Ovis aries: one gene and its partners. The main gene of each other region encodes a partner of the protein of the gene in region 5 in a complex. Links are inferred from orthologs where the notes say so. Each region holds a gene or a part of one and is shown on either strand. Other genes may lie near its edges.

Region 1 (6,022 bases), on a different chromosome or scaffold from region 5:
GTGGGGGAGGAGGTTGGAGTATTTATTTTCCAGGCCTCTCTCTGCATCCCTGCAGTTTTGCCTGTGGCTGTGTTCTCTGTCTAGAGCTATAGCTCCTCTTGTGGCTCAGACGGTAAAGAACCTGCCTGCAGTGTGGGAGACCTGGATTCAGTCTCTGAGTCAGGAAAATCCCCCAGAGAAGAGAATGGCAATCCCATGGACAGAGGAGTCTGCCAGGTTACAGCCCACAGGGTGGCAAAGAGTTGGTGCTACTGAAGCTATTCAGTGCACAAGCTCTCTGAATGGCTACCTGTTTCCTGCCAGGGTCCTAACTGAATCACATTATAAACTTAGGGTGAGTCCATGAGAGAAAGGGACCCTCACCCATCAGGGCATCTCAGAGTTTCTCTTTAGAAGGACCTTGGGGTGGCCAAGGAGCTGATGGGAGGACTTGTCTGAAAGCTTTACATGGGGTTATTTGTGGAGAGGGGCTAAATTCTTCATGACACTTTCATTGGTATGTCTCTCAGCCTGTCCCCTTGAGGGAGGGTGGAAGGAAAAAGCTTTTATTCCTGTGTGCATTGCAGGTCACTTGGGTATTTGGTTAAGTCTTACTTTCTATTTGCCTCCAGAGCCCCGAGAGGAAAGGAGTATTTTTTTTTTAGAACTGTTTCATTTCATTTCTATGAAGTTCTAGAACAGGCAACACTCATTTCCAGTAAAAAAAAAAAAAAAAAAAAAAAAAGAAAAAGGCATGGAGTGTCTCTGGGGGTAAAGTAGAGAGTGAGTGCCCTGGAAGGGAGCAAAAAACCCAAACAAAACAGTGGTCGCTGGTGATGGAAATGTTTATGTTTTAATTTGGACAACTTATTGGGCTTCTCCCTTAAGATCCCGGCATTTTTATTCTCAAAATAAACAGGGATTTCCCCGGTGGTCCAGTTGTTAAAAATCATCCTTCCAGTGCAGGGGAAGCAGGTTCCATGCCTGGTCAGGGAACTAGGATCCCACGTGCCATGAGGCAACCAAGTCAGCGCACCTCAACTAGAGAAGCCCTCATGCCACAGTGGAGACCCAGAGCAGCCAAAATAGTAATTATCATTGTGTGTGTGTGTGTGTGTGAGAGAGAGAGAGAGAGAGTGTGTGTGCGTGTGTGTGTGTGCTCACACATGCATGCTCAGTCATGTCTGAGTCTGCGACCCCATGGGCTGTAGCCTGCCAGCCTCCCCTGTCCATGGAATTTTCCAGGCAAGAATACCGGAGTGAGTTACTATTTCCTTCTGCAGGGGATCTTCCCCACCCAGGGATCAAACCCTTGTCTCTTGCATCTCTGGCATTGGCAGATGGGTTCTTTACCAGCTGAGCCACTGAGGAAGCCCCAATAAATATTATAATTATAATAAAAGAATAATAAATAAACAAAAAAGAATTTTCAAGCCCAATAGCTGTCACTCCCCCCCCCTCCCCCGCAACCCACACTGTGCCAGGTCTTAGTTGCGAATTATGGGATCTAGTTCCCTGACCAGAGATCGAACCCAGGCTCCCTGCATTGGGAGCTCAGAGTCTTAGCCGCTGGACCACCAAGGAAGTTCTAGCTGTCACTTTTTCTAAAAAAAAAATTTAGAGAATTTTGAAATTATTTTTTATTAGTTGTCACTTTTGAGTGTTACATCCCAGGTCTGTCCAAAGTGCTTTGCCTAAGAATGGATCAGTTTATGAAGGACATGATGATAACATAAAAATCAGCAAATATTTTTGCAGCACTTAACATTCATGTATTTACTCCTTGAAAGCAACGTGTATTGCACATGTATCTGTAGTAAAGTAACCCAACAGAAAAATGACACTCCTCCTAGTGGGAAGGCAGATATTTAGAAAAACAACAACGAAAAAAGTGGAATACACAGACTGTTAGGACCCTTTCTATGGGGAAAAGCAAATAAAACAGGGAGAAAGGAGGTCGTGGGGGGGGGGGAGTCATGTTTTACAGACTTTATAGTATGACGTCCTCTTGATAAAAGGACTATGAAAGACCACATGATCAGAAGAGGAAACGGAGGCACACAGAGGTCACCAGCCTAAGTCTGGCGAAGAGGCACGGCTGGAGCTGGAAAACCCAAGAGAGATTCCTTCCAGGGGTGGCCCTGACCATGGGCATGGGGACCTAACAGACCCCTCATTCTCTCCGTTGGGGAAGTGGGAGTGCAATGACCAAAAAGTTAATGAATGACTTAGATCTGGGGTCTCCCTAAACCCCCGTCCCCCACCTCCCCATAGCTTAAGGCTTGATCTAGTTGGAGTGCGGGGGTTGGAGGGAGGGTAAGCAAAGGAATTTATGAGATGGAGGCTTCCAGGCTGGGGACGTTGAAGGACTCGGGGGTGTTTCACCAGCAGGTGAGGTTTCTCCAGAGCTGGAAGGCTTTAGTGGGGTGAAGGGGTTAAGGGGGAGCGACAATGGAGGGGTTAACGGGGGCGGGCCCGGTCGGGGCGGGGCGGGGCCTCGGCTGGTGGCTCTGGCCCGGGGCCGGGAGGAGTCACCGCCGGGTCCCTGCGCCGCCGCGGAGCCCGGATCCCCCAGCCGCAGGGAGAGGCGCCGCCCGCCCCGTCCAGCCGCCACGCGCAGGTAGGCGCCGGTTCCTCCCGGGTCCGTGCAGGTCCCGCGGCCGCCAGCGACCGCTCCTCCCCGCGCGCGTCGCGGGCTCTGCGTCCCCGCGTCCGTCCGCTGCCTCAGTCTCCCGCGTGGCCTCGGTCCCCGCCCCTCTCTGGGGCTGGCTCTCCTTGCGTCTCCGCGACTGACTTTGTCTCTGGGTCTGTCTCCGTCTCTCCGTCGGTCTCTGATGTCTCTCTGGATCTGCGGTCCCGCTCCCTCTGCCCGTGTCTCTCCTTAGCCATCTCGATGTCTCTGTGTCGATATCTTTTATCTCTGCCCCTCCGTCTCTTCCACTCCGTTTGCCTGTATCCCTGGGTCTTGATGAACTCTGTCTATACGGATCTCTCTGCCTCCGTCTCCCCGTTTCTGGGCATCTCTTTGCCTTTTTTCTTCCTGTCTCGCTATCTCTCTGTATGACTCTGTCTCTGTCTCCACGTATCTTAGACTCGGTTCTGGCAACTTCACTCCGTCGCCATCCTTCTCCGACTTTCCTCTGGGCTGAGGGTCTTCCTGGGAGTCGGGTAGAGGGCAATAGGATTACCACCTGGGGCAGGTGGATTTAGTACCGCTGTGACCTGGGCTCCCCCTTAACAGAGTCACCCCGCTGCTCTGGAGGTCGCACCCACCCCACCCTCCAATTTCAGGAATTCCTGGCTGGGGGAGGGGGTAAACTTCCTCCCCAACTTCCTCCAGTCCAGGATTTGGCTGGGTCACCCATTAACTCCTTCCTGTCTCGGCTTCATCCCCGCCCCTCGCCCGCCCCCCCCCCCGCCCCCCTTCAACCACCCTGAAGAACAGCTCTGGAATTTCTGTGAGGCATCGACTGTGGGATGAATGTCATATATACTCAGATGGGATGAGAGCTGGGGGATTTTCTGGAGGGCAGAGATGAAGATGATGGGGGCCACACCCCTCATCACCCCCGACCAGGGCCGTCCACCAGCCACACTTCTCCTGAACTCACCAGTGTGTCCCTGCACGCTCAGTTGTCTTCAACTCTGCGACCCCGTGGACTGTCCCCGCCCGCCAGGCTCCACTGTTCATGGGATTTTCCAGGCAAGAATACTGGAGTGGGTTGCCATTTTCTTCTCCAGGAGATCCTCCCCTCCAGGGATCAAACCCACATCTGCTTCTCCTGCACTGCAGGCAGATTCTTTACCGATAAACCACTGGGGAAGAATTCACCAAGGGCCCCCCAACTCTGTCTCTGTGGATGAGCTTGACTTCAGGTTTGGGGTGAGGATGGGGTGGTTGTCCTCTCTGGGCCGGGTTTCAGTAGGAGAAAATGAGAGAGATTGATATGGTGTTTTGTTTTGTTTTGTTTTTTTTGAGGGGGTGGGGGAGCTCCAAAATCATAGCATCAAGAAGTTTTGAATGTGAACTCTTTTTTTAAATTAATTTTTAAATTAGAGTATCATCAGTTTTGAATGTGAAGTCTTTGCATGAAAGGACCCAAGTATGTGAGAATGATCCAAAAGGAGGATTGGGAGAGCTCAAACCTTCAAGTTCAAGGTCTTGGGGTATTTGAATCCTTCAGTCCAAAAAGATGGGCTTTGGAATATTGGCAGTTTTCAGTGTTCGCAGTCGAGAGCTCAAAAGTGCTATCAGAGCCAGCTAGACCAAACCCCCCATTTCAGAGATGGGGAAACTGAGGCCCAAGTGTAGAAGTCCCCAAGGTGAGTCAGTTTCAGGCTGGTTTGGGACTCCGGTTCCACTGAAGCCCAAATCCAAAGTACTGGCTTCTTTTGCTGCCACAACCTCAGATTAAAGTGGGGAAGGAGGTCTTCGCAGGGAAGAGGGAAGAATGCCAGGGTGAGTGTGAATGGCTGGAACCCAGGAGGGAGCATTTTTAGAAGCAGAGGAGAGAAAATATTTCTAAAGCCACGGTGGTGGAGAGGGAGAGGGGATAAGAGGCGGTTGGAGTGGAAGGGGTGGAATTTCAGAAAAGGAGGGAAGAGAAGGGAAGTGAGGAGAAGGGGCAGAGATTAACTCCCGCCTGACTCTGTCTCCTGACCCTCCCCATGAAGCCCACTGCTCCTGCAGGACAGGGCCTATAATTTGGTTTGTGTCTAGACAAATAATAACTCAGCCTCAGCCAGTATGTGATCCAGTGGGATGGGATGAGACAAAGTTTCTGGGCCAGGTATAGAGAGGCAGCCTGGGCTCTTAGTGTCCCCACCAGGAGGAGAGAATTTAGGGGCCAGGTAAATGTGGTGACTACCCACCCCCCGCCAAAATTGAATTCTTAGTATTTTACAATTTTGCACAATTTTAGAACTTCAGGCTGCTGGAATGTTAAAAGGAAAAAAAAAAAAAAAAAAACACAAAACCAGAAGAGGTAAAAAGGAAGTGGGGTTCACCATATCTGTAAAAAAGAAAGGGGAAATGCAGATTCGTGTTTGCTGGGCAAAGATAATGATCACTGAGAGTTTAATAATAGATTATGAAAGTTGTACAATTTTTTTTTTTTAATCATAGAGCATTCTAACAATAGAACTTGAGAATCCTGGAATGTGAATTTCCTGGGATATTGGAAACCTAGAAGGGTAGGGGTGTGGAAAGCCGCCATAATAATAATAATAGAATGGAAGGAAGGTAAAGTTCAAAAAGGTTATAATAATAGAACAGTAAACCATGGCCTGGACTAACAATAGAATCTGAGGATCTGAGAGCCTTGGGAATCTAGAACATCAGAGGAGTAGAGTCAAGGACCCTCCTTGGTGTCCCTTCTGGGTGGTGTGGGGGACATATGTGGGGGGATGGGGATACCTTCGGTAGAAATGGGGAAACTGAGGCCAGTGGAGTGGTCACGGTGGCCTGACTGTCCTCGGTTCTCGCCAGCCAGCCGCCAGGGCGCCAGGTGGGGAGCGAGGCTCTGTGATCACATTTCGTTCCTCTAATGAGCAGACCGACCGGAGCTGACTGGTCCCCGGGGGGCTGACAGGGGAGCTGGAGCCTTCAGAGGAGGGAAGTGGGGAGTGAGAGAGGTGACCTGGAGGCTTCTAGGACAAGGCTGGTGAGTGACAGCTGTGTGGGGGCTGTATTACCTCTCCCTCTTGCTCTTTCAACCCCCTACCCCCAAGCCTTCAGCCTTGCTGGACTGAGAAGTTGCTCCTGGGGCCTGGCTTGAGTAGCTGAGACTGCACAAAGTGGGGTCAGGGGTCTGACAGTCCTTTCTGTCACCCCACTATCGCTCCACATTCCCAACTTATCTCTCTTCCTTGGCCCTCTGGGAGGGACCAGCAGGGACCAGGAGGGAGCGGGGGTATAGGGTTGGGGGAGAGAGTGCTGGGCAAGGGAGTCAGGTGATGGAAGGGCACACAAGACCCCCGAGGTCACTTGCCTTCTGGTGGTGAGAGTCTGCGGGTTTTTCAGCAGAATCTCAAAGAGGGCTGA
Region 2 (5,774 bases), on a different chromosome or scaffold from region 5:
TAAAGATCTGAGAAACGAAGAGCCGCACCGTGCTCCTGGGTGGAGGGGCCCGCGCTCCCTGTGGCCGTCTGCACAGCCAGACTGATTGAGCAAGTGTCGTGGTGTGAGCTTTGCTTCCGAGGAACCGCAGCTCAGCCCGCTCCCTCGACCCTCACCCCTCGCCGGCTGCCAGCAGGATGCCCTGCTGTCTCCCTTGGAAGAATGTAGCAGCCTTCTGGCCAGGCCCTCCCTCCAGTCCTTCCTGAGGCTTCAACCAGACAAACACCTGTGCCTGTCAAACAGGCACACACCTGGCCCTGCTCAAAACTGGAGAGCAAGCTCCTCCCTCAGCCTGAGGCCTCACCTCCACCCTTCTCTCCATGCGCCCCAGGCCACTCCCCGCAGGCATGGAGAGCTCCAGGCACTGAGGGTGCCTCCCAGCCCTGCCCTGCAGCTGGCTACCCCAGGCAAGTCGAAGACCACCCCCGCCCCGCCGCCATCCCACCCCCCACCCCCGCGTCGTCTGTCACCCCGCCGCCAGGCCTCTCTGGGTGACCTGTGTGCAGACCCTGTGTCATCTGTTAGATCACTGTCAAGCCTTTCTGGTGACCTTGCGAGACCCCTGTCATCTGTCACCTCACTGCCAGGCCTCTGGTGACCTTGCGCACACCGTCCTGCCTGCCTGGACCTGCCCAAGGTCTCATCCTCACGAGCTCACAGAGCGGCTTCAGAATGAACGGGTCAGGGAAGCAAGGTGGTGGACAGAGCTGTGCTGATGCCAGCGGGTCCCCTCCACGGGGCTAGGGCTGAGGGCTGAGCCCACAGGACATACACATGCCATGCGTCAGTGCCCCAGCGTCACTCCTGCCCAGGCTCCGGACCCTGCAGGGGACCCTCAGGGGTCTGCCCAACCCAGTGCTGGAGCCTCGCGAGCAGCCTCACCTCCTGGGTGGCTTGTGAAGGACCAGGAGTCCCAGGCACCTGAGGCTGGGCCCTGGCCTCCCTTTGTACAGGGGATGGGGGAGTTGGGACATTGTGCACAGGCGTGCTCCTGAGCAAACCTCCACAGCCAGTGTCTGAGGGACCCCGACCATGCCGGCTCCCACGCGATTCTCAGGGCCGCGCTGTCCAGGCCCAGCAGCCTGCACCTGCTGCGAATCAGGGGAACGGCCTGAAGGTCACTGCACAGACCAGACCCGCCCCGGGCTGCGGCCAGAACCCACGGCCGCCTCTGGCTCCCCTGTGAGGAGAGGGCCCTGGGAGGGGAGGGATAGGACCCGGGGCTGCAGAGCTGAGCACTCCGCGAACTGGCGGGCCCTGCCTGCCTACAAACCTTGTCCTCAAAGCTAGAAAAGACTGCGTCTGATGGAGCAACCATGTCCAAGGCCGAGTGTTGGGGTCATAAAAGCCCAGAGGATCCTCGGGAACAAAGTGACTTCTCCCTTCATTTCAAAAGGCAGTAAAAGCTAGGATGAATCTGTTGAATATTAGGGAAGAAAAAGAAATTCAGTAGAACCAGATGAGGCAGACATGGGGCACTGAGCAGGGCATGCTTGTGAATGGAGAGAGAGAGAGAGACAGACAGACAGGAAAAAGGGCCTGGAGCGTCTGAGAGCCTCAGCCCTGGCCTGGCTGGCCCCGTCTTGCCTCCTGCCCAGGACGTCCTGCCCCGACACCTGCTTTCGGGGAGCTAGGGTCTTGATACTCACCCTAGGAGCTCTGCCTCCCCCAAGGCTGACCTCGCCTGGGGAGGAAGGGAGGGCGGGGAGAGAGGAGGTCCAGGGTCGAGACAGGCCGACTCGGCTCCCACGGAGGAGGTGCTGCCCACTGAGTCCGGAGCAGGAAGTGAAGACCACAAGGAAACTCAGGCAGGCATTCGGGGCAAAGTCTGCTGGGAAAGCCGGGAAAGGAGGTGCCTAGACCCACCCACCTGGGTCAGCCAGGAGACGTGCCCAGGAGGGAGGCGGTCTTCACCCACCTGCATGCCCACAGAACGGGCACCCCAGGTGGGCCCCAGCCCTGGCCACAGCCCTGGGCTCCGTGCAGTGCCCTCAGCTGGGCGCGGCTCCCGTGGAGCCCAGAGCGGGGCCTGGCTCTCTGTCAGTCAGTGTGGTGGAGGGCGGGGGCAGCAGTGGGCCTGCCCGGGGCCCAGGCCCTCCCAGAGCCTGGGGTCCTGCCTTCTGCAGCCCCGTTCTGCCCGGGAACTCTGCGCTGGGCCTGGGGGCGGGAATCAGATGTGACGTTAGACGGGCCTGAGAATGCTAATGCATCAGGACCTCCAGCTGGGCAGGAGGGGATGGGTTCAGACGGTGAGGACCTCGGGCAGCAGGTCCCTGTCCCTCGTCAGCAGGCCTGGAGCTACCCCAGCAGACACATCCAGACCAAGGACTCCAGGGCAAAGCAAAGGGGAAGAGTCTGGACACGGGACGGGCCAGAGCCTGCCCACACTTTCAGCAAGGACCCTGGAGCCCAGAGAACATGAACTGCTCTCTGGCGGCTCGGCTAGGAGGTGGCTGCCCCGACTGGAACCGGCCTGCCCGGCACGGAGGCTGGCCTGGGGAAAGGCCCCTCAGCTCAGCGGGCCGGTGCCTCTTGAGAAGGGATGGCACAACAGCTGGGGCAGGCCCAGGGGCTGACGGCGGGAGGGGGCCTGGTGTGAGGGGCACGGAGACTGCCCCCGACGTCTCCCTGCCTCTCCATGCCCAGACACTGCTTCCTCTGGCTCAGGGCACAAGGCTGGTACCAGCTGCCCCAGGCACTGGCTGCCTTTCCATCTGCGGTGGCTGTGGTCCTGCCCTTGACCCGACCCTGCCGTGGGACCCGGACGGCCCGAGTGGAACTAAGGGCAACCATGGGCCACCCTGCCAGCTCCTGGAAAAAAGTTGGCAGCGTTCCACCCTCCTTCTGGGGTTCTGGCGCCTTGCCTGGGGGTGAAGGGCTGATGGTGATGGGCGGTGGGCAGCATCTTCCTTTTCAGGCTTTTTGGAAGCGGGCTGATCCGCAGGGCCCCTGCCTGAAGCCCCAGCTCTCTGTTCTCACTGAAGTCACCAGCCTCCCAGGACCAAGTGGGGAAGGGACTGCTGCTAAGTCTCTTAAATGACAGAGCTGAGACGCGGTGGCTGGCTCCAGGGCGCCCCCAGAGGCCCCCGACGGCCGGGGGGGGGGGGGAGACAGGCAGCCGGGGCTGGCCCGAGGGAGCAGCGTGCAGCAGGGGCTGGCTCGCAGTGACGCTGGTCATCCGGGCGGGGCCGTCGGGCAGGGGTGAGCTGGCCGACCGCAGCGGCCTCTGAGGCTGGGGGAACCCGCGGGTCTGGAGAGGTTCCCTGCCCCCCACCCCCTGGGCCTCTCCCCCGCTGACTCAGGACGAGTTCTTCTTTGAGGCTGCGGCAGCTGTAAACAGCACACCCTGTGGAGGCTTAGAGAGAAGTTGCGCCCCAGGGAAGCTCTCAGCCGATGCCGGACCAAGAGAAAACCCCGCAGGCCTGGGGCTTAACCACAGACGCTGACGTCTCCAACTCTGGGAGCTGGACGTCCGTGGTCGAGGCCCAGGCCAGTCTGGCTCCCGGCGAAGGCCCCATCCTGGCTTGCAGGCGGCCACTTCTGTGTGCTCACATGAAGCTCTGCTCCTTCTTCTGAGGATGCCTGAGGTTAACACGTGCCCGGGAGACCTGCGTTTCAGCCCCACCTGGGCCCCCGGGTGTACACGTCAGATCTTCCCTTGTAAACATCCTGCACCCCAAACTTGTCTCAGCGTCAGCCTCTGTGGTCTGAGAAGAGGTGATACCGTGTGGTCTGGAGCTGGGTCACCCACTGGCCCTGGGGGCAGGGAGGTGGTGGTCCTGGCATGGGGGGGTCTCGTCCTGTCCTGGCGCCGTTTGACCGGGTGGATCGGGGAGGGGCTGGGGGACAGTGGGTTTGAGATGCAGGAACAGGAGCAGCTGCAGGGGATGGGCCAGGAGGCTGGGGCCAGGGGTGAGGCCGCCGCTGGCCTCGAGGGGAGCAGCCCCAGAGCAGGGCGGGAGCAGGCCAGGGCCTGCTGACTTGCAGAGGGGGTCGGGCCCCAGAGGAAGGCTGCCCCCCCCAATGAGTGTGCACGACAGACTCCCCACCTGCTGCCACCACCAGGCCCGCAGACCCTCGCTCTGTGGCTGTGCTCAGGGAGGGGTGGGGATGGCCAGGCCGCAGGCACTCAGGCCTGCAGCTGACACTGCCCCCGAGCTGCAGCGGGACACAGCGAGCCGCTGACCATGGACCCCTGCCAAGACTGCTCACGGTGTGCGGTGGGGTCACTTCCTGGTCTCCAAGCGTGAAACTGGGATGGCCTCGTGCAGACATCCAGCTCCGTCTCTGAGGTTGGAGGGCAGGCAGGAAGGCCAAGGGTGAGACTGACGCCTCTGCCCCGCCCCCCAGACGACAAATCACAGACCGCACCTTGGGGAGGGTGGGGACGGGGACCCCCTCGAGGCGCTGAAGCTGCGGGATGGTCCCCTCAGGGGCAGTGGTCCCACCCTATCTCCCCCTGACTCAGAATCGGGGTTTCCAGAGCATGCAGCCTGCTCCCAGGGAGCCGCAGGCTAGTGGTGCGGCCTCGAGGGTGCAAGTCAGGAACGGGTGGGAAGACCTCCCGCCAGGACCAGAGGCCCTGCAGCCCCTCCCAGGAAATGACGTTGTAACTCGGGACAAGGAGCCCAACAGGGCAGGCACCCCGACCACGGTGACAACGCGGTGCGGAGTCGGGGGACGCGTGGGGACAGGAGACATGCCAGGCCAAGGTCAGGGCCCCCACTCCAAAGGGGTTAGGGGTTTGGGGGCCCGGGGTTGAGGCCTGCAGGGACACCCCCGCCGAGTCACGAGCAGAGGGCTGCAGCCTGCAGCTCCGACACGGCCACTGGGCACTGGGCAGCGTCCACCCCTGAGCGCCACTGGCCGGGAGACAGGAGACTGGACACGGTCGGCGGGGGGGACCTGTGTGGATGGAAACCCTCCAGCTCCCGCCCAAGACCTGCCCTGCGCCCACCTTCTCACCACCCACTACCTCCTCCCCTCAGCAGCCCTGCCCGGCTCCGCATCACCCCCCGAGTATCAGTGGCTGGTGTGAGCCCCCGCCTGCTCCTGCCGGCCACCTGAACCCGCTGGACACTGCTCGGTGCTCGTGTTTATTTATAAACTGGATCCTAAAAACGTTTCTAACAAATAGTTCAAACAAGGTGTGTCCCGACGCGCTCCGTCCGCTGTATGGCTGTTTCCCGGGCAGTGGAGAGACCACGTGGAGAATTCCGGGGGGCTCAGCCACCAGGTCCCTGGTGCCCGCCTGGGCTCTTCCCGCGGCTCCTGCTAGACCGCAGGGCTACTGCTCCTGGGACACGCGCAGGCCGGCCGCCGTGGGTCACCAGAGCCCGCACACAGGATCAGCCGCTCAGGCTTTCATCACCGCCATGAAGGAGGCCTGCGGATGGAGGGCGCGAGGGCTGGGAGGCGCTGCCCCGGCTGGCGGGAGACGACCAGCCTCCTCACCTACTGCGGGGCTGCCACCACCCCGAGAATCGCTGCCTGGGGCTCCCGGGGGGGACGAGAGCCCCTTCTGTCCGAGGGCCCAGCCTAGCCTGTGGGGTGGCTGCTGGGAGGGTCTGGGAGGCAGCTAAGACCCCAGGGCACTGGGAGAGCCCTCCCCTCTGCACCCAACACGCACCTCCCGGAGGGGCTGCCCCAGCATCTCCTGGCTGTGAATGGAGCGCCTGCAGGAGAGGATAGCACTGTTACCCTGGGCCTCCCCGCACCCTGGGGGTGTGGGGTGG
Region 3 (6,042 bases), on a different chromosome or scaffold from region 5:
CCTGAAATACCACTCCTGGATATTTTTCCAGAGAAAATTCTAATTCAAAAAGACAAATGCACCCTTATTTCACAGCAGCACTACTTACAATAGCCAAGACATGGAAATAACCTAAATGTCTACTGACAGATGAATGGATAAAGAAGTTGTGGCGTATGTAAACAGTGGAATGTTATTCAGTCATGAAAAAGAGCAAAATAATGGCATTTGCAGCAACATGGATGCAACAAGAGACTCTCATGCTAAATGAAGTAAGTCAGACAGAGAAAGACAAATACCATATGATATCACTTACATGTGGAATCTAAAATCAGACACACGTGAACTTACCTATGAAACAGAGTCACAGACACAGAGATCAGACTTGTGATTGTCAAGGCGGGGGGAGTGAGGGAAGGGATGGATTGGGAGTTGGGGGTTAGTACATGCAACCTATTACATACACAATGGATAAACAACAAGATCCATAGGAAACTATACTCAATATCCCGTGATAAACCATAATGGAAAAGAGTATGATAAAAAATATATATATAGACACATATACGTATGTATAACTGAATCACTTTCAAGTACGGCAGAAACTAACATGACATGGCAAATCAACTCTATGCCAATAAAATACATTTTAAAAAAATCAGTTCTTCAGGAATAATTTCTCATCCATACTTAATGTTTTGTTGATCCAGTTTGGTGAGAGGGGCAGAGAGGGAGGGGTATCAATATTCAGAAAGAAAGTTAATAAAAGCTTTCATTTTTCCTTTCCAGTTTTTCTTCCAGATTTTTCTATTCCATCCTTTCCCTGTTACTTACTCTCTGTGTCAGGAGAGGGAAGCCCTCACCCCTTGAATGTGTGGAATATGTCTCCAGGGTTCCACTGACTTCACTGGACAGAAATCTACACCACACAGAGGAAAACTGGTCCCTGCCAATCCCGTGCCAACCACGGTCCCCTCCTGTTTGGCCCGTGACACACCGAGTTCATTCCACAGCAGGACGCCCTGCTGTCACCCCTGCCCAGAAGTCTGCTTGCTTTCTTGCCGTGCATAACCAGCTCTGTCTTTCAAGCCTCGGTCCACAGGGCACACCCTCTGAGAGGCCTGCCCTGATCACCTTTTATCACCCACCATCCACTCTTTCTACCAACCGCCTTGTTTGTCTTCCCATGGCACTCACACTATAATTTGAAAGTTTTTGTTTGTTAGTATATTTGTTGTCTGTCTCCTCTATCAGACTCTTTGTGACTTGAGTGCAAAGACTGTTCTGTTTGTACCATATCCCAGTTATTTAAAACCAGGCCTGGTGTGTGTGTGTGTGTGTGTGTGTGTGTGTGTGTGTGTGTGTACGTACATGTATGTGTCAGAAATCTGGGTTTTTGAACTTGAACTCTCCCCATCCAGGTTTCATTGGCTATTGCTTCTTTTTAGTAACATGTCTGTGATTGTCAGTATTAGTATGATTTCTCTAAGGTAGTTAGTTGACCAACAGAAAAACATCTACACTAAATTAGGATGTGAGAGGAACAGTCTCTCTATGAAACCAAGGCCAGGTTCAAGCCGCTCCTTGAAGCTGAGAGCCTAGGATGCGAGTGGATGTGGGGAGATGTGGCCAAAGGCACAATGTGGGAACCTCCCTACAGCTCTCTTTCCTCCCTGACGGGGCTGGGGTCTCAGGACCGCTTTGTTCACTCTGCGTGAATTCCTGGCCAGACCCCTCCCCTCATTTCCCTCCGGGAAATCAGCGTGTGCTATGAGGCATGGGTTAGCAGTAGGGCTCACACAGCCTCCCTCTAGTGCGACGCTAGATGATTTATTTATTCCCAAGTCGTTCAGCATTTTGGCCAAGGAAGGGGAGCCGGCGAAAAGTTACCACCTTCACGTCATTTTCAGCAGAAGACTGAACGTGACTGTGCATATAAAAACAAACAGCAGCACAACCTGGAAGGGTCTGGGGAAGGGGCGGCAGGTGCCATGTCGGGCTGCAAAGGTGCCAAGAAGAAGCCCCTGAAGTAGCCCCAGAAGAAGCCCAGGAACGGATGAGGAAGATAAGACATCCAAGCCGAAAAGGAGGAGGGGCAGAAGAAAGCCAAGGAACTAAAAGCGAAGGCTGCCAGGGAAATGCCCCTGGCCACAGGTGGAATAAAGAAATCTGGCGAAAAATCTGCTGGCCCTGGTGCCTGAGGCAATGACGATCCTTAGTCCCATTTCTGCTTAAACATCTGGACTCCCTGCCATAATGTCTGTTGCCACCTATAGCTAGGAGGAAGTGTTGTCTTGGGACCTATTACAAATTTAAGGATAAACTTTTGTAAAAAAAAAGAAGAAGAAGAAGAAGAAAAAGAAGAAGCGGCAAGCCCTGTGAGACCTGCAGGTAAAGACAGGGAGATGATAGGATGCCCCAGCGCCCACAGTGAAGGCCGCATCACTCCAACAGGGACAGACCCCCACCCCACGTCCACCTTCACCCAGCACCACGCTGGTGCTCCCACCAGACCGGGGTCCATCTCCTGGGACCTGGATTCACACCGTGGGGATGCTGCGTGCACCATCTCTGGCGGGTTGTGGAGGCAGCAGGGCTGCTCCAGACATAATCACGGCCAAAGGCACGCTCACCCCCAGGTCAGTGTTGCTCTCATGGCTCCCAGGCAAAGATTTGGGGATGTTAGTGCGAGGTCCCCTCCACCGTGCGTGTACCAGCCAAGCAGCAAATGGGAACAAGGGCCAGTAAGTGCACTTCCACCATGGTCCCACAGGCCTCCTTCTCTGGGGAGGAGCAAGGAAAAGTTTCTCGCTTCTTCCGTCCTCCCCAAGGAAAGCTTCACGGTGATGCCTCCAGACAGGACTCACGATGGCAAAGGGAAAGCGGGGGTGGGCGAGGGGTTTCATCGGAGGGGCTGGAGCAGTCAAGCTCCCATCGGAGAGATGAGGACAAAAGAGGGCAGGGACAAAAGGATGGGGACAAAAGCTGCTCTAAGGCAGCTCAAGTGAATCTGCGCTGGAGACGCACAACCTGAGTCAAGGACAGAAGATGCTTCACCTGCAAACATCCCATTTTCTGAATCACAAGTGTTCAGATGCCCCCAAAGCGAGAGGATCGGGGCACAGAGAGACCTGCTTCTCCAAGTCAGAGGTGGAGGATGATGAGTGACCCAGGGGACAAGGTGTCAGGACAGCTGGTGGGGCCAGCGGAGCCCAAGAAGGGCTCCTTCCCCAACAGCCTCAGAGACAAGCAAACTGCCTCCAGACCCCGGACTGGGCAGGGAGAACAGGTAGTGAGCAGAAGAGGAGGGAAGCTGCCTTACCTGGATGCACTTGTGACCTGGCATGGGCCCCACGCACCTGCACACAAAACATCACACTGTAAGACACAAGGAACCTCCCAGCAGAAATCTGTTCACGTCTTGGCGAGCACCGCCTGGGGACATTACCTGGAAATCACAATAAAATAACAACAGCCAGGAATGCCAGCAGCAAAGAGGCAGCAGCTTCTTCATGGTTTTTTCAGAGGCGAAAATATGATCCAAGTGGAATTCCTGAGGGTCTGTGACAAAGAATTGCCTTTAACTTTCCCTTCTTTGGGAAAGGGACATTGTCACAGTTTCCAGAAAGAAGAACACCATCTGTTTAGCTAGAGTTTGTGAACTGCAGCGTGAAGGCAGAGTCGTGGAGAGTTAATAGGTGTTTCTTGCCTGTCTCCAAACTTGAGAGTCTTTGGTGATCAATAAACACATTGGAGCGACCAACCGGCCCTGGGATGAGGGGAGGAGAAACAGCTTCCGATCCAAACTCCTGAGAAGCGATCCTGGGCTGGGACTGCAGTGGCGAGGCTCAGGGGGCAAGCGGGGGTCCCTCACGGTTTTCTTTTTCTGTCAAGAGCCGTCATTTGTCTCCATTCAGGTCCGGAGTTGGACATTGCCCTTTTTCCTGGAAGTGGGAGGAACCGCGTCTGGAGCTCCCGGGGTTTTCGGGCCAGCGCGTCGCTACTAAGTTCTGGTGTGACTCAGGCTTACACCTCCGTCTGTCCCCCAGCTCGGCGGCGGCGCGGCGGCGCTCGGGGTGGAGAAAGTGAGTGATGTAAGGCTCTCTCCTCAAACTTTGTTCAGCTCCGCTCCTCTGTTTATATCCCACGGCTGCTGGATCCTTCCTGGGTCCTAACACCGGTCTGTTAAGAAGTGGGAATTATTTTCAGGATCTGCGGTTCTGAGGCAGAGCAGACAGAGCAAGGTGTGGACATGCCTTAGCTGCCTTCCCTTAACACCTTCAAAGTCAGTGTAAATATTAATAAATACAAAACGTACAACAGACAATAAACTCTGTTTAGAGCTGAGTCTTCTTTGCCCAAAGAAAAAAGTAAGGTGATCTAGGGATAGGAAAAAAAAAAAAAAAAAGAAACACCCACACCCATTCCCCAGCACATGCCCTCCACAGGATGCTGGCCACTTTTCTCTTTAACCTTTTCAGAGATGATGAAACTGTTTACAAGGTGCACTGGGCCATTACACCAAACCCCACATCTCCCCCACAGCCACAGCATCCAGGGACCCTTAGCCAGCCTCATCTAACTTTACTAGAAACTAAAATTTTCATCTATGTTGCATACATGTCCCCCCCACACACACACACCGTTAAGTAACACAGTTAACCCACACAAACACCAGCCAGTGTCTCATGCGCTGCAGGCAGATTGCTTACTGTCTGAGCCATCAGGGATGCCCCTAACTAACACACACTTGATTAACTAACACACACTTGATTAACACACACTTGATTAACTAACACACACTTGATTAACTTACCTCCCTGCACCCTCTCCAACATTTAACTAGCTGCGTGTCCTTAGGCAAGCTACTGAACCTCTCTGTTTCAAATTCCTCATCTGTAAAATGGAGGTAGTAGTTTCAACTCCAAAGAGCTGTAACAAGAAATGAGATGATGCATACAAGGCTTTCAAAGCAGTGCTTGGGAAGTACGTAGCACTCCATAAATGCTCACTGTTTTTTGCAAGCAAAAAAAAAAAAAAAAACAAAACATATCACTCAATAAATGTTAGCTGTGATTATTATTATAAAGTAGAAAATAACACTCATTAAATGTTAACTAATATTATTAGCTCCTTCGTCCTGACTTTAAATGGGAACAGAGTCCAAGTACTTCCTAAAGAGGATAAGAAGATGACCTCCAGTCTCCATGGGGGAGAACCAAAAAAAGTGATGTCAAAACTGTGAAGTGATTATTTTTAACTTGCGCCTGTAGCCCACAACCTCTCAGATGATCTGACAGCCTGAACTTCCCTGCACAGCGGCAGCAGGCTTCCAGAAAATTCCTGAGCACGTTTCTCCATCTCTTTGCACTTGAAAAAAATGGCAGATTCCACTGTCGTAACTGCACCTTTATCCTGTAGCCTAGGCCAAGGGCCTCAGCGGAAACTTACAGCCTTTCTCTCTCCATTTCATCTGCTTTCTCTCCCTCCCACTGCCTCCCTCTGGAAGAAAGAGAAAGATGCAAGAGGAGGCGGAGCCAATGCAAACTTTCCTTAGTCCACGTCTTAATTTACGAAACATTAGACAGACTGCGGATTAAATGGACCTGTCCCATCACTGAGACTGAACCACGCTGGCTGTGTTCTTTTCTTAACCATAAAAATCACCATCAAAAAAAAAAAAAAAAATCACCATCAACCCAGAGATTGTGATACTGAGTGAAGAAAGTCAGACATATATCACATGATATTACTTACATGTGGAACCTAAAAAAATGGTACAAATGAACGTATTTACAAAACGAAAATAGAGTGACAGATGTAGACAACAACCTTATGGTTACTGGGTAGAAAGGCGGGGGGATGAATTGGGAGACTGGGACTGACGTATATCCACTACTGTATATAAAACAGATAACCAATAAGGACCTACTGTATAGCACAAGGAACTCTACTCAATACTCTGTGATGACCTACATGGGGAAAGAATCTAAAGAAGAGTGGATATGTGTATATGTACAACTGATTTACTTTACAGTACAGCAGAAATCAACACAACATTGT
Region 4 (5,837 bases), on a different chromosome or scaffold from region 5:
TGGAACACACAGGGTGGAGTCCTTGCTCTCCAGTCACATCCGGTGTGGGGAAGGCTGGGAGGGGATGATGGGATGGGGGAGTCACAGGAGACCCGTCTGGGAGGTCCTGGCTGGGAGGATGGGGCAGCTGGGCTGAAGTCATGTGAGTGGTGAGGGGGCGTGCAGCCCCGCGGGGAAGAGGAGGGGACGGTATTCCCTTCCATGAAAGCCTGAGTCACCCCTCTCCCAAGGAAAACTGAGCTGTGGGGGGAGGGGGCTGGAAGCAGCGCGTAGGCAGAGAGGGTTAGAGGCCAATACCATGGCCTTCCCCCAGCTTGGGAATTGGGGCGGGGGCCAGGAGGTGGTCTCAGAGGAACTGGTGTAGAGTCTGCCTTTCACGGGGGCCAGGAGGAAGCTCCAGACCAGTAGTTAGTTAATGGGGGGGGCGGGGTGCGGGAACAGCCCTCCCCAAGTCCCTGGAAACATGCCTTGCAAGGACCATGGGCATGCCAGGAGCACCAGTTCCAGAAAAGGCTGGTTAGGCCGGTTCTCAGTGAGCCTGGGAAGGATGAGGGGCTTCCGGGGTCGCCCAGCCATCTCAGTCTCGGACACCCCCTCGGAGGGGCGCCCTGGCCCCCGGCCTGATAGAGGCAGCTGCTCCCCCTGGGCAAAAGAACATCCGTCCTAGTTTGGGAACAGAGAAAGGCTTGTGCGCATCCCCAGGGACTGTCGCTCCGCCCAGATCGCCACACAGAGGCCTCTTGTTCCCCTGCCGGTCGGGGCCCAGGCGCCCCAATGCCCTCTGCCCATTGTAGCGGGCTTGGTCCAGGTCTTGGGCCTTACCAGACCGACGGACAGGCCAGAAACAGCCCCGCGCTCTGATTGGTTCATTTTCAATCCCAGAGTATTGAGCAACTCAGGCCTATTGGCCTGAGCTTTGCATCCTCGACATTTGATTGGGGGCCCAGGTGGGGGCGCTCTATTGCTTGCGCTACTGAGAGGGTCCTTTCCAGGCGGTTGCAGTTCATTTCGTCTCGAGGACATTAAGACTGTGTGGATGTCCCCGGGGAGAGTCTGAACCACAGCCTGACCGCTGGGTCACCCGTACCAGTCACCCTCGGGCTGCCCTGGCCTACTGGCCCCCCCCTGGGGATCATAATTGAGAATTGAGGGCCCGTGGCAGGTCTGGGAAGCACCCTTGCTGGTGGGCTAGAAGCCCAGGGTGTGCCCCCTGCACCGCCCCTCAAACCCCTCTCCTGTCTGGCGGCCCAGAGAAAGATTTATGGCCGATTCCTAGATAAATAAGAAGTGGTTTCAGTCCTCATACCCCAGGGACTGACTAAAATGCCGTCTTCTTCCTTGGGAGACTACCCTCACTTCTTATAGCCTCAGAAGGAGGGGTGGTTAGTTAGAGAAGACGAATGCGTCTTTCTTCTCCACTAAGGCGATTCCCAGAAAGAGGAACCAGGGTCTGGAGGCTGGAGCGGGCACAGTCACCCTGAGGCAAATACAGGCCTGGCCTGCTTCCCCTCCCTGCATCAGGCTCCCGGCGTGGCTAGCGCAGGGCCTGAGTCCTCTTCACCTTCACCAAGGCAGTCACCTCCCAGATGCTCAGTAAGAGGTCACTAGGCTCAGCACTGGGGAATGGCCAGGCCTGAAGCAAGAGGGACAAGCGATGGGGTTTGGAGGGAAGGAAAGTGAAACACACCAAGACTGTTCAGGGGGAGATTAAAAGAGAGGAAGGCAGGAGGAAGTCTCAGTGGCTTCCAGGAGCCCCTCCCGCAAGTTCTATGGAGGCATGCCCTGTGGTTACTGTTCCTCTGGGCATTCACAGGTCCCATGCCCCTTGCCCTGGGATAAACCCCTGGGCTCAGTTTCCCTCTATTTTCCAGGTGGCTCGGTGGTAAAGAATCTGCCTGCATTTCAATCCCTGGGTCGGGAAGATCCCCTGGAGGGAGAAAAGGCAATCCACTCCAGTATACTTGCCTAGGAAATCCCAAGGACAGAGGAAATCCCTGGCGGGCTACAGTCCATGGGATCACAGAGTCAGACACGACCAAGCTCACGTGCATGCATCCATTCCCCCCTATACTGCCATTCTCCAAGCAGCAGCCAGGGGGAGCTTTTAAATTTATAGCTTCAATATGTCACTCCTCACCTCCAAACTCTTCCATGGTTCCCCAGTATCCAAGGTGGCCCCCGCCCACCTCCCCTCCTCCCACTCTCCCCCAGAGCCATTCCACTGAACCACACTGGCCTCTCCCCGGTTCAGCCCCATGCCCACCTCAGAGCTTTAACTCTGCTATTTCTTCACCTGCCACGGCCTTCCTATCTTTCAGGTTTCTGTTTTAGTGGCCTCTAATCACTAGGCTATCCTAGTCACCTTCCCTAGGCCCCTCCTATCACAGCATCTTTTATTATATTCACAGCACTTGCCAATTTCAGAAATTATCATTGTATTTCTTGTTTTTTGTCAGCTTCCATGGTTGAATGTGTGTCAGAGGCCAGCAACTAAATCCTTCAGTCCCTGGAAGAATGCCTGGCATACTTAGAAAGCACTCAGAAATTGTGTGGGATGGATGGATGAATGGATAGATGGACGAACTGATGAATGAATGAACAAGGGAACGAGGGCCCCCGAGGGTGGAGGCTCCTAAACTCAGCCCAGGCTCAGACAACGGTAAAGGGACGCGGGAGACACCCCTGGTCCGCTGGCAGGCCACCCCCACCAGGCGAAGCCCAGAGTCTCCTTGGAGACACGGCACAACCCGCCCCCGCCCTCGGGCCGCAGTCTCGGCCTCCTTATCTGGCGGTGGAATGCACGGTATCCACACTGGCTGCCTCTGGGGCCGCGCCTCCTTTCTTCCGCGACAGCCACAAGCAGGGGACCCCCAAGTCTCCAAGTGGGGGTGGGGGACGCCTGTGCGTCCAGCCCGGTGCCCCGCCTCGATCTTCCTAGAGGACTGGGGAGAGGCGGGGAGAGGGTCAGCGACAGCTGCGCCGCGAGTGCCGCGCCCGTGTCGCGCCACGCGGGGCACCGTGGGCTCAGCGCGTGGCGCCTGGAGTGTCTGACTAGGGAAGAGTCTGGTGAAGGGATGGAAATCCCCGGTGAGTCAATTCGTGCCAGAAGAAGTGGGCGAGGTTCCCACGTTTGTCTGGGCCCAGAACCGCGCGGCGTCCGCGCCACGCGTGCCCGCGCCAGCGCCCCATCCCCAGGCCCCAGGGGAAAGAAGAGGCGCCGAAGCCACGCAGTCTCAGGTTCACTTTCCTTCCAGAACAAAGCCACGACCCCACGGGGGGCGGGAGGGAGGACTGGAAGAGATGAACTACTCAGGGAAACTGAGGCAGAGGATCAGAAGTGCAGGAGGTGGGCATCTGTCCTCCTCGGGGGCCCCGCCCCTTGGCTTGGCTGTACTGCGACGGCCAGCACCTTTCGCCCGCGTCCAGCCGTTGTCAGCAAAGAGGGGCGTCCTCCCCTCCCCCATACACAGTCCCCAAACCCCTGGTCTGGGGTGCACGCCATCCTGCCTCCCAGTCTCCGACCGAAAGCGCTTGGATTCCGCCTTCTCCTCCCGGCCAACTTCCTGCCGCTGGAGAAGGCGGCGAACTCAGTCTGGGGGTTCGCGGCCAAGGCAATGGGGCCTCCTAGGATCTTGGAGAGGGCGCACGATGACCACTCCCTGGGTGCAGCCGGAGGACGGGCAGTGCATGCGCGCCCAGGGAGCCCCCGACCCCTGGCGGGCTTTCCTAGCTCTGATCCGAGACCTCCGGGGCCCGGGGCCCGCCCTTTCTGCCTCCCCCTCGCCACGCACGCTCACCTGGCTAGGCCGACCCGACTCCTTGCCCGGGCCGGAGGGGCTTTGGCGCCTGTGTTCCCCGGGACGGCCGCGGCAGGGGCTGGGACTGCCCGCCGGGCTCCACTGCGTCCCGGGGCTGGGGACTGGGGACTCAGGGGCACCGAGGGAAGAGCCGCCTTGGCCCCCACTCGCCCCGCCCTGTCTCCGCCTCCTTTCCGGCCGGCGGCAGCAGCAATGAATTCCAGATGTGATCAGCTCAGCGGGGCGCGCGCGAGGGCGGGCGTGGGGGAGGCGCGCAGGGTCCCTTTGTCCGCACCCCCACCTCCAGCCCTGCCCCCTCCCAGCCCCCACCCGTGAGAACCGGCCAGCGCATGACGTCACGCAGCCCCGTACTGTCCAGTCGCTCCTGCCCAGGTGGCCTCAACCTGAGATAACTGTCTTGGATTGCAGATATACTCTTGGCCCCTGCCTGGGATCCTGGAATTGCAGGAGGGCAAGGAATTTCCTTACTTATTCAGCAAGGAGCCACGAAGCACCTACTAAGGTCAACACAACAAACAGGCATTAAGCGCCCACTATGTGTTCATCCAACAAATAAGCAAGTTCCTATTATGTGCTAGGCGGTGGCGGTGGTTTAGGCGCTAGGTGGTGTCCGACTCTTGCAACCCCAAGGACTGTAGCCCCCGGGCTCCTCCTTGGGATTTTGATTTCCCAAACAAGAATACTGGAGTGGGTAGCGATTTCCTTCTCCAGGGGCTCTTCCCGACCCAGGACCCACTGACGGGTGGATGCTTTACCACTGAGCCAGGGAAACCGACCATGTTCTAGGTCCTGCCACAAAGAATGGATTGGTTTCTGCCTTGATAAGGCCCCAGAATTGAGGCCCTGGTCCCTTTGCCCTAGAAGACTGGGAGCACTCAGCAGCCTCCACTGCCTCCGTCGGTGGAGTACCCTCCTTGTGGTCGACCAGCAGGCCCAAGCTAATTCTTGCTTTTCAAGTTGAGTCCCAGTCTTTTTTGGCTGAGCCATGCGGGATCTTAATTCCCCAACCAGGGATCAAACCCCATCCCCCCTGCAGTGGAAGCACAGAGTTTTAACCACTGGACCGCCAGGGAAGTCCTAGCCAGTTCTTTAGTTTCCCATTTTTTTCTCATTGAGCTTTTCCTGGGCATCTCTGTGTGCCTGGCTGCAGAGATGAAGCCCACCTGCATTTACCGATGTGTGTGTGTGAAATCAGGGACTAGACAATATGTCCCTCACTCCTTTGGAAATGGCAACCCATTCCCATAGTCTTGCCTGGAAAAATTCCATGGACGAGGGAGCCTGGCAGGTTATATTCCATGGGGTTGCAAAGAGTCAAACATGACTGAGTGACCAAGATCCCAAGCACAGGCATAGCAATGAACCGAAAAGGGAAAAAGTCCTTCCCTTCGTGGAACTTATGTTCAGAAGGGCGCTATTTGTGGAAATGAATACATCAACTGCTTATGTGTTTACTTACCACAATACAGTAAGCACCTGCATGTGCCAGACACCATTCTAAAAGGCTGGAGATATATCAGGAAACAAAACAGATAAAACTCCCTGTCCCAAGTTGATGTTCTACTATACTTGCTCAGGGCTTCCCTACTGGCTCAGTGGTAAAGAATTTTCGTGCAACGCAGCAGCTGCTGGAGACTTGGGTTCAATCCCTGGGTCAGGAAGTTTCCTCTGGAGGAGGAAATGGCAACCCACACCAGTATTCTTGCCTGGAGAATCCCATGGACAGAGGAGCCTGGCGGGCTACAGTCCATAGGGTCACAAAGAGTTGAATACGACTGAAGCGACTTAGCATGCACACATACTTGCTCAGAATATCTAAAGTATTACAGAGAGAAGAAACTGATAAATTTTCTGGGAGAGGAACTGAAAGATAGGGGACAGGGCATGGGAGGGACATAACTTTCACTCTGTGAGTGCTTTTGTATCTTTTGGCTTTTGTAACATGTACATACTTGGCCTATTTCAACAATAAGTTACGCTGAGGGAATTCAAAGGCAGTCCAGTGGTTAGGACTTGGGG
Region 5 (5,774 bases):
CGTTACATCTGAACTCCCTCCAAACTGCATACAGGAAAGATGGCTATCATTCCTGGGACCTTTCTGGTCTTTGGCAAATAAAACCCCAAATACAATCAACACATTCACAATCAGATTTTTTTTTTATCAAGTGCTTTGTAATTTATTTCGATTATTATTTTTTACCTTTAAACTAGATCAGAACCTTATCTTCCACCCTCTCTTCAATGCTGTGTAATAGCTACAAACTTTTACAGTCTTGTGTAAAACAAAGTAGAAATAATAAATACAAAATAAATTCTAACTGTTTCCCGTGAAAAAGAGAATTACAAAAAACATCATGTTATTTTAAGGAGGAACATTTTGTAAAATGTGCTTAGAAGCTTTTAAAAAGCATAGCATGCAAATCTATAAAAAGCTCATTGACTGTTAAACATTAAGAATTTTAACCTCTACTGATGAATTGTGAATTAAATACCTCTAATGGCTAAAGAGCATACTTGAACAATTAAGTTACTGAACTCTTAATTCAAAAATAAAAAGTCAGTTTTTAGAAAGATCAATACTGCTGCTATAACTGAGATGAAATTATTTTTAAAAGGAGAAAAAATTAGATGAAAATGCCTGAGAAGCTCATTATGATCTTACCCTGGAAAAAGAAAAATGACCAACTAATTACTCAATATAACAGCTTCATCAAACCCATTGGGGGTCTGCCTTATTTTTACCTTGGTTAGTTTATCAAGCTCATCTAGAAAACTATCCACATTTCTGAGGCTAAAATTTTGGATACATACATCATATTGTGGAAGGCAGTGAAAAAGGTGTGTTACAATCAGATGGTAATAAATGCTGTTAAAATAAAACCACAACATTAAAAAAAAAATCTCTTACCAGCTGAAACTCGCGACGCCGGTCGTAGGCATTCTGTATGCCACTGTCTGCCCATAATGCTCTTATAGCAGGAAGGTACTGTAAGAAAACTTGCGTTTCCACAATTCCCTGGGCGGTCAGGGGCGTCCGGGTATCGAATGCCATCAGCTTGTCTCCATTGAGCTGGTTTGAGTTATCCCCCCAAGGAATGTGGAGTTTCTCTCGGGCATCTACCAGCACCCTCATACCTTTGTTTAAGAAAAAAGAAAGTGTGATGGGAGTCATTAGACACTCTCAGAGATCCGATCTCGTATTCTTTCCTTAAACCTCTTGAGTACTCTAGGCCCAGCGGCTCCAAAACACGGAGACCGACATCAAAACAGAAGTAACTTCTCAGAGCGCAAAAAAAAGAAAAATTAAAACTCACAATTGTTCAGTCATAAAATCAGAACCTTGAAAAGCAAACACAATTAACACAAGTGCTTCTTTTGTAGGATTTTAACGTGTTCTAATTAATAAAATAATTCCTGGGCAAAGGGAGTCGCAAGACAACCAAGACCAGCAAAGGAAGAAGAAACTCCATGGCATGACCTGACGTCCAGGCTCTGAAGATCTGCAACCAAGGCTCTGAGTCTCTCAGAGACTTTTATGAGACGCCAAGAGGAGACTCAGCGCCCTGTGTTCTCCCGGTCCCTGAGCACCCTGCCCAGCCCAACCCACGGCTTCCAGGACCTCGCTCAGAGCTCAGACACTTCTCCCCCCGCAAGCTTCCAATCGGGGTGAGGCTCAGGGTGGCGTGAGGCTTCCCTAAAAGGAGGAAGACCAACCGCACAAAAGATGTGGAAGCAGAGATTTCAACTCCCAGAGGCTATTCCAAACCCATTATTCCTAACACCACACTGTCACCTTTAGTCCCTGCTGACAGTCACGTGACTGTCAGGTCATTTGTTTCGATGACTGAAAAACCGTTTGGCTGTCAATTTTCTGATCACATCAACTCAGAAAACGCAGACGGCTAGTGACTTCATCTCATCAGCACTCGAAGTAGGTCACACTTAGGAGCCAGTGTACAAGAGGAACCAGGTGTTAAACAAGAGCCAGGTATCTACCTAGCTCTCAGTCAACAGCTGGTCTCATGCTGGGAGGGGTTGGGGGCAGGAGGAGAGGGGGCGACAGAGGATGAGATGGCTGGATGGCATCACTGACTCGATGGACGCGAGTCTGAGTGAACTCCAGGAGTTGGTGATGGACAGGGAGGCCTGGCGTGTGGGGATTCATGGGGTCGCAAAGAGTTGGACACGACTGAGCAACTGAACTGAACTGAACTGACTCATTAACAGAACCCCTTACGATCAGCTGCATCAGATACAAAGGTATCCTCGGTTAAGGGCTGACTACAGAGAGTCTTGGGCCTTGAGAGAGACCTTAGATTAATTTTGTACTAAACCTGAAGAAAGGATAAAGTCAGCCTCTTTTTACAGCTTACTGCAGAACTCCCAGGGCTGGCTGTGGTCTGTGAGCTCCTGATGTCCTGCCCCTCCCTCATCGTTACCCCCACAAAGCTCCCCCTCTCCATTCCCCGCACCCCAAGCAGTTTTCCTCCACTCCATCCTGGGAGGGGGGAAAAAAAAAAAGTGACTCGAAAGAGTAACTTAAGTACTTCCTCAACAAAATCCCCCCTTAAAAAAAACGCTGCTTGGAAAGGCTTGACATTACCAACCCTTAGATAAACTGCTATCCAGACGCCAGAGAGCACCCTCAGGCACCTGAAGAATCAGGCGCTGTATCTGAATTCTGCCAAAATGCCTTTTATAAAGTAGAAAACAGCTGGACACTAAAAAGAGTGCTAATTATAGCTCAAATGACAAAAGTAAAATCTCCCCCATTTGTTTGAAAGCCCAGAACTAAAATTCCTGTGCGTTTTTCACTTGAGAACAAAGATCAACTCTAGTTTTAAAAATACCCACGAACAGCAGCAGAACCTATGACCCAAGCCGACACTGATTCATTGACTCAGCCTGCACGGTCTCAGGCCCTAGACCTCTGTACCCACACACAACCCCGTTTAAGCAGGAGACGCTCCCCCCACCGCAGTCAGCACCAGGAGGAGGGTGCAAGGTGCTCGGTGATGACAGGCACACATCCTGCCCGACCGTGACACTGGGGCGAAAAACCACTGATGCTAAAACTTTTTTAGGCCGACTGCATGGTGCGCTTTCCTGACGGCAGCAGAGCAAACAGGACACCCTCGAGTTTCACATCCGTGCCCCCAACGGGCCAGGAGCCTGTCACCCTTCGCCCTTGACCAGAGTCTCGGGCACAAGGTTCCGGAGCTCCGCGGCCCGGGAGCTGGGAGTAGCCCCGACCCCATGTGACTCGGCCACCCGCCACCCGGGGCGCGAGGCCGGGCGGGCAGCGCCCGGGCGCGGGGTGGGCTGGCTCGCCCGGGGGAGAGGCCAGCCTGCACCCCGGGGTGCCTCCCTCCGGCGGCGGCCGAGGCCAGAGGCGGGGTGGCGGGGGGGCCCGGGCCGCGCCCCCTTCCCGCGCGCCCGGCCGGGGGCTCCGGAGAGGAGGGCGGTGCCCGGCGCCGCCGCCCGGGCCCCCCGGCCGCCGCGGCCCCCCGCTCCCCGGCCCCCCACCTTTGATCACGTTGCTGTAGATGGTGGGGCGGAACTCCTCGCGCGCGCGCTGGTCGAAGTCCTGCCCGTGGATGATGCGCATCTGCTTGAGAAAAGTGGACTTGCCGCTCTCGCCCGCGCCCAGCAGCAGGATCTTCACCAGGCGCTTCACGTAGGTCTTCTCCCGCGACAGGCACTTGTCGATCTCCTTGGACTTGCGCTGCTGCTCGGCCTCGCCGCTCGTCAGCACGCAGCCCGGGAAGCACACGGACAGCACGGACCGCGACGGCAGGAAGTCCGCCATCTTGCCGCCTCGGCGGGGCCCTGCGGCTTCTCCGGCCGCTCGGCGCGCGGCTCCGGCTCCGGCTCGGCGGCTCGAGGGCGGGGCGGGGGGGCGCCGCGGCGGCCCGGGCGCGCCGGCGGAGGGCGGGAGCCGGCGGTCTGACTCGCAGGGCGGGCCGGGCAGGGCGGGCCGGGCGCGCCGCGGAGGGAGGGCGGGAGGGCGGGCCCGGCGGGGCGGCGGCCCCGGGGCGTGCGCGCGCCCGCCGCCCGGCGGGGACGCGCACGCACGCCGCGCCCGCAGACTCGCGTTCTCTCGCGAGCCCGCGAGCTCCGCCGGGCGCGCGCGCGGGGCGGGGCGGGGCGCCCGGGTGGGGCGCGGCGGTCACGTGGCCCGCTCCTCGGCTGCGCCTCCTGCTTCCCTGGAGGGAGCCGCACCCACCCCGGGGCGCGCGGCTACTTCCGGGCATCCAGGGGGCCGGAGCGCGGCCCCCAGGTCTGCCCTTTGCTCCCAGTGCCCGCCACCGGCCGCCGAAGCCCTTGGCTCCGAAGTTGTTCAAACAGAGAGCGGGCGTTTGCGGTTTCGGTGCATTTTCTTCCAGTGGGTCCCTTGACACCCCGCCCTCCCGAGCCCGGGATCGGAACCGGAGTGACCCCCCCCCCACCCAGCCCAGACCCTGCCAAGACGCTGCTTGGGGAGGACGGGCCGGGGAGGCACCGAGACGGGCTGTGGATGCCTCCCGGACGCGGTCCGCACGCGGGCTGACGCCCACGTCTGCACGGGTGAGGTCAGCCCGAAAATCCCCCCGCACCGGACACCGACGCGGCTGTTCCCCAGAGGAAGCAGATAAGCAGACAGACCGAGGACCGGAGCCGGCGGAGGTTAGGTTTCCTGCCGGACTGCAGAGGATGTGACCGGCCAAGACTCGGGCCCGGACACCTGCAGGGCTGCGGGGCCACAAGTGACACCTGGGCTGGCAGCGGGACCCCTCGCAAGGACCCCGGAAGCCAACTTCTCTCTCCGCGCCCTAGTTTCAAGTGGAAAAAGCCCTCTGGGCTGGTCTCTGTGACAGTCCAGCTCCTTCCAAGAGCCTTGCCTGGGGCTTCCGGGGCTCAGAAGCTTGTGTGTGTGTCAGGCAACGAGGTAGCAAAGTCAGTGCCCCGAGAGGCTCAAGAACATGTTTAGACAAAAAATAAGTGCTAATCAGTTTGCTGACCGGATTGGGTTAATGGCGGAGGAGCCCCATGACTCAGTAAATTGGCTGCAGTAAGCAATACCTGTGGTAGGGTTATCTCCTGCCGTCCTGGCCAAGCCCGTCGGGTGGACAAGCTGCCCTACACAAAGTAGGGTAGGTTCCCCTCCAGTATCACTAGGCCGTGCCTCTAGGCAAAATAGATAGTAAAAGTCCACCCAGGTTGGAAGAGCTCTCTGCAGCTTCAGCTGCTGTTTGGGAAGCTTGGTTCTCCACCCTTGAAAGGACAGACCTCTGCCCAGGACAGGCTATAGCGCTGGCCCCCAAGCAGTGTGTCTGCTTGGACTCCGAATGCTAATCTGAATGCCACAAAAACAGGAAGAGAGGAACCTATCAGTTAGATAGTTGGCATCCTTTTTCTTCCTTTTCCGGGAGTGCTCACAGTGTAATTGAAGCACCAAGGATCCCTCTTCAGGCAGGAAGGCTTTCCCGCCCTGCCAGTTCATGCTGTGACATGTAGAACAGCAGAGGAAGGTGTCCAGAGCCCTGCCTGTAACCGCGTTGAACAAGCTTGACTCATCAAACCCTGCAGCCCGCCTCAGCGCTTCAGAAAAAAAAAAGAGACCTCTTTGGGCCCTGCCTGGGGTCACACTGCAGTCGTCCAATAGCTTCTGTCTGGTTGTCAAGCCACCTTGAAAGAGCTAGCGTTAAAATGAGCTGGTGGTATAGTAGATAAGAATCCTGCTGATGCAGGGGCCACAGGGTTCAGTTCCTGGTCTGGGAAGATCCCACGTGCCGCAGAGCAACTGAGCCCCGTGTGCTACAGCTAGTG

What was found.
Region 1: the proteins of GNA13 (region 5) and GPR4 are in contact, whole or in part, in a cryo-EM structure (PDB 9JHP), measured with the Homo sapiens proteins. The link is inferred for Ovis aries from reciprocal best matches to the Homo sapiens genes GNA13 and GPR4. Residues at the interface, in NP_006563.2 of Homo sapiens: Arg47, Pro341, Tyr343, Phe359, Lys363, Asp364, Ile366, Leu367, His368, Asn370, Leu371, Lys372, Gln373, Leu374, Met375, Leu376, Gln377; in NP_005273.1 of Homo sapiens: Gln45, Asn50, Arg115, Ala118, Val119, Ala120, Pro122, Leu123, Ala126, Ile204, Val208, Ser211, Val212, Ser213, Thr214, Glu218, Lys221, Ile222, Leu225, Asn290, Glu291, Gly292, Ala293.
Region 2: the proteins of GNA13 (region 5) and GPR35 are in contact, whole or in part, in a cryo-EM structure (PDB 8H8J), measured with the Homo sapiens proteins. The link is inferred for Ovis aries from reciprocal best matches to the Homo sapiens genes GNA13 and GPR35. Residues at the interface, in NP_006563.2 of Homo sapiens: Lys46, Arg47, Leu48, Val49, Lys214, Asn215, Val216, Phe218, Arg331, Gln337, Gln338, Lys340, Pro341, Leu342, Tyr343, Phe359, Arg360, Asp361, Lys363, Asp364, Ile366, Leu367, His368, Asn370, Leu371, Lys372, Gln373, Leu374, Met375, Leu376; in NP_005292.2 of Homo sapiens: Phe45, Gln51, Thr53, Thr55, Met59, Asp113, Arg114, Ala117, Val118, Pro121, Leu122, Arg123, Arg125, Arg128, Ala197, Leu198, Arg201, Pro202, Thr204, Asp205, Gly207, Gln208, Ala211, Ala215, Met218, Val219, Ala280, Lys281, Glu282.
Region 3: the proteins of GNA13 (region 5) and ADGRD1 are in contact, whole or in part, in a cryo-EM structure (PDB 9V0U), measured with the Homo sapiens proteins. The link is inferred for Ovis aries from reciprocal best matches to the Homo sapiens genes GNA13 and ADGRD1. Residues at the interface, in NP_006563.2 of Homo sapiens: Val49, Val216, Phe218, Phe359, Val362, Lys363, Asp364, Ile366, Leu367, His368, Asn370, Leu371, Gln373, Leu374, Met375; in NP_942122.2 of Homo sapiens: Asn599, Arg601, Leu657, Met660, Val661, Ile662, Val664, Phe665, Ser667, Val737, Ile738, Ile741, Ala761, Val764, Asn810.
Region 4: the proteins of GNA13 (region 5) and S1PR2 are in contact, whole or in part, in a cryo-EM structure (PDB 7T6B), measured with the Homo sapiens proteins. The link is inferred for Ovis aries from reciprocal best matches to the Homo sapiens genes GNA13 and S1PR2. Residues at the interface, in NP_006563.2 of Homo sapiens: Arg47, Val216, Phe359, Lys363, Asp364, Ile366, Leu367, His368, Asp369, Asn370, Leu371, Gln373, Leu374, Met375, Leu376, Gln377; in NP_004221.3 of Homo sapiens: Ser66, Met68, Tyr69, Leu72, Arg130, Ala133, Ile134, Lys136, Val137, Lys138, Leu139, Tyr140, Tyr209, Ile212, Val216, Ser219, Gln227, Thr228, Leu231, Leu232, Val235, Tyr288.

The regions. Positions count from the first base shown.
Region 1 is NC_056067.1:52,983,126-52,989,147, reverse strand, and holds the start of GPR4 (G-protein coupled receptor 4), read left to right. Parts: upstream 1-2,512; 5' UTR 2,513-2,599; intron 2,600-6,022. UniProt on the Homo sapiens protein: Proton-sensing G-protein coupled receptor activated by extracellular pH, which is required to monitor pH changes and generate adaptive reactions. Activated by an optimal pH of 6.8-7.2.
Region 2 is NC_056054.1:1,009,342-1,015,115, forward strand, and holds the start of GPR35 (G-protein coupled receptor 35), read right to left. Parts: upstream 3,614-5,774; 5' UTR 1,689-3,613; intron 1-1,688. Other genes in the region: CAPN10 (calpain-10), read right to left, coding at 5,396-5,425, 5,669-5,714. UniProt on the Homo sapiens protein: G-protein coupled receptor that binds to several ligands including the tryptophan metabolite kynurenic acid (KYNA), lysophosphatidic acid (LPA) or 5-hydroxyindoleacetic acid (5-HIAA) with high affinity, leading to rapid and transient activation of numerous intracellular signaling pathways.
Region 3 is NC_056070.1:46,263,728-46,269,769, forward strand, and holds the start of ADGRD1 (adhesion G-protein coupled receptor D1), read right to left. Parts: upstream 4,090-6,042; 5' UTR 3,494-4,089; coding exon 3,428-3,493; intron 3,339-3,427; coding exon 3,302-3,338; intron 2,181-3,301; exon of another isoform or gene 1,941-2,180; intron 1-1,940. UniProt on the Homo sapiens protein: Adhesion G-protein coupled receptor (aGPCR) for androgen hormone 5alpha-dihydrotestosterone (5alpha-DHT), also named 17beta-hydroxy-5alpha-androstan-3-one, the most potent hormone among androgens. Also activated by methenolone drug.
Region 4 is NC_056058.1:12,607,718-12,613,554, forward strand, and holds the start of S1PR2 (sphingosine 1-phosphate receptor 2), read right to left. Parts: upstream 3,930-5,837; 5' UTR 3,798-3,929; intron 1-3,797. UniProt on the Homo sapiens protein: Receptor for the lysosphingolipid sphingosine 1-phosphate (S1P). S1P is a bioactive lysophospholipid that elicits diverse physiological effects on most types of cells and tissues.
Region 5 is NC_056064.1:61,128,881-61,134,654, forward strand, and holds the start of GNA13 (guanine nucleotide-binding protein subunit alpha-13), read right to left. Parts: upstream 4,005-5,774; 5' UTR 3,775-4,004; coding exon 3,492-3,774; intron 1,101-3,491; coding exon 874-1,100; intron 1-873. UniProt on the Homo sapiens protein: Guanine nucleotide-binding proteins (G proteins) are involved as modulators or transducers in various transmembrane signaling systems.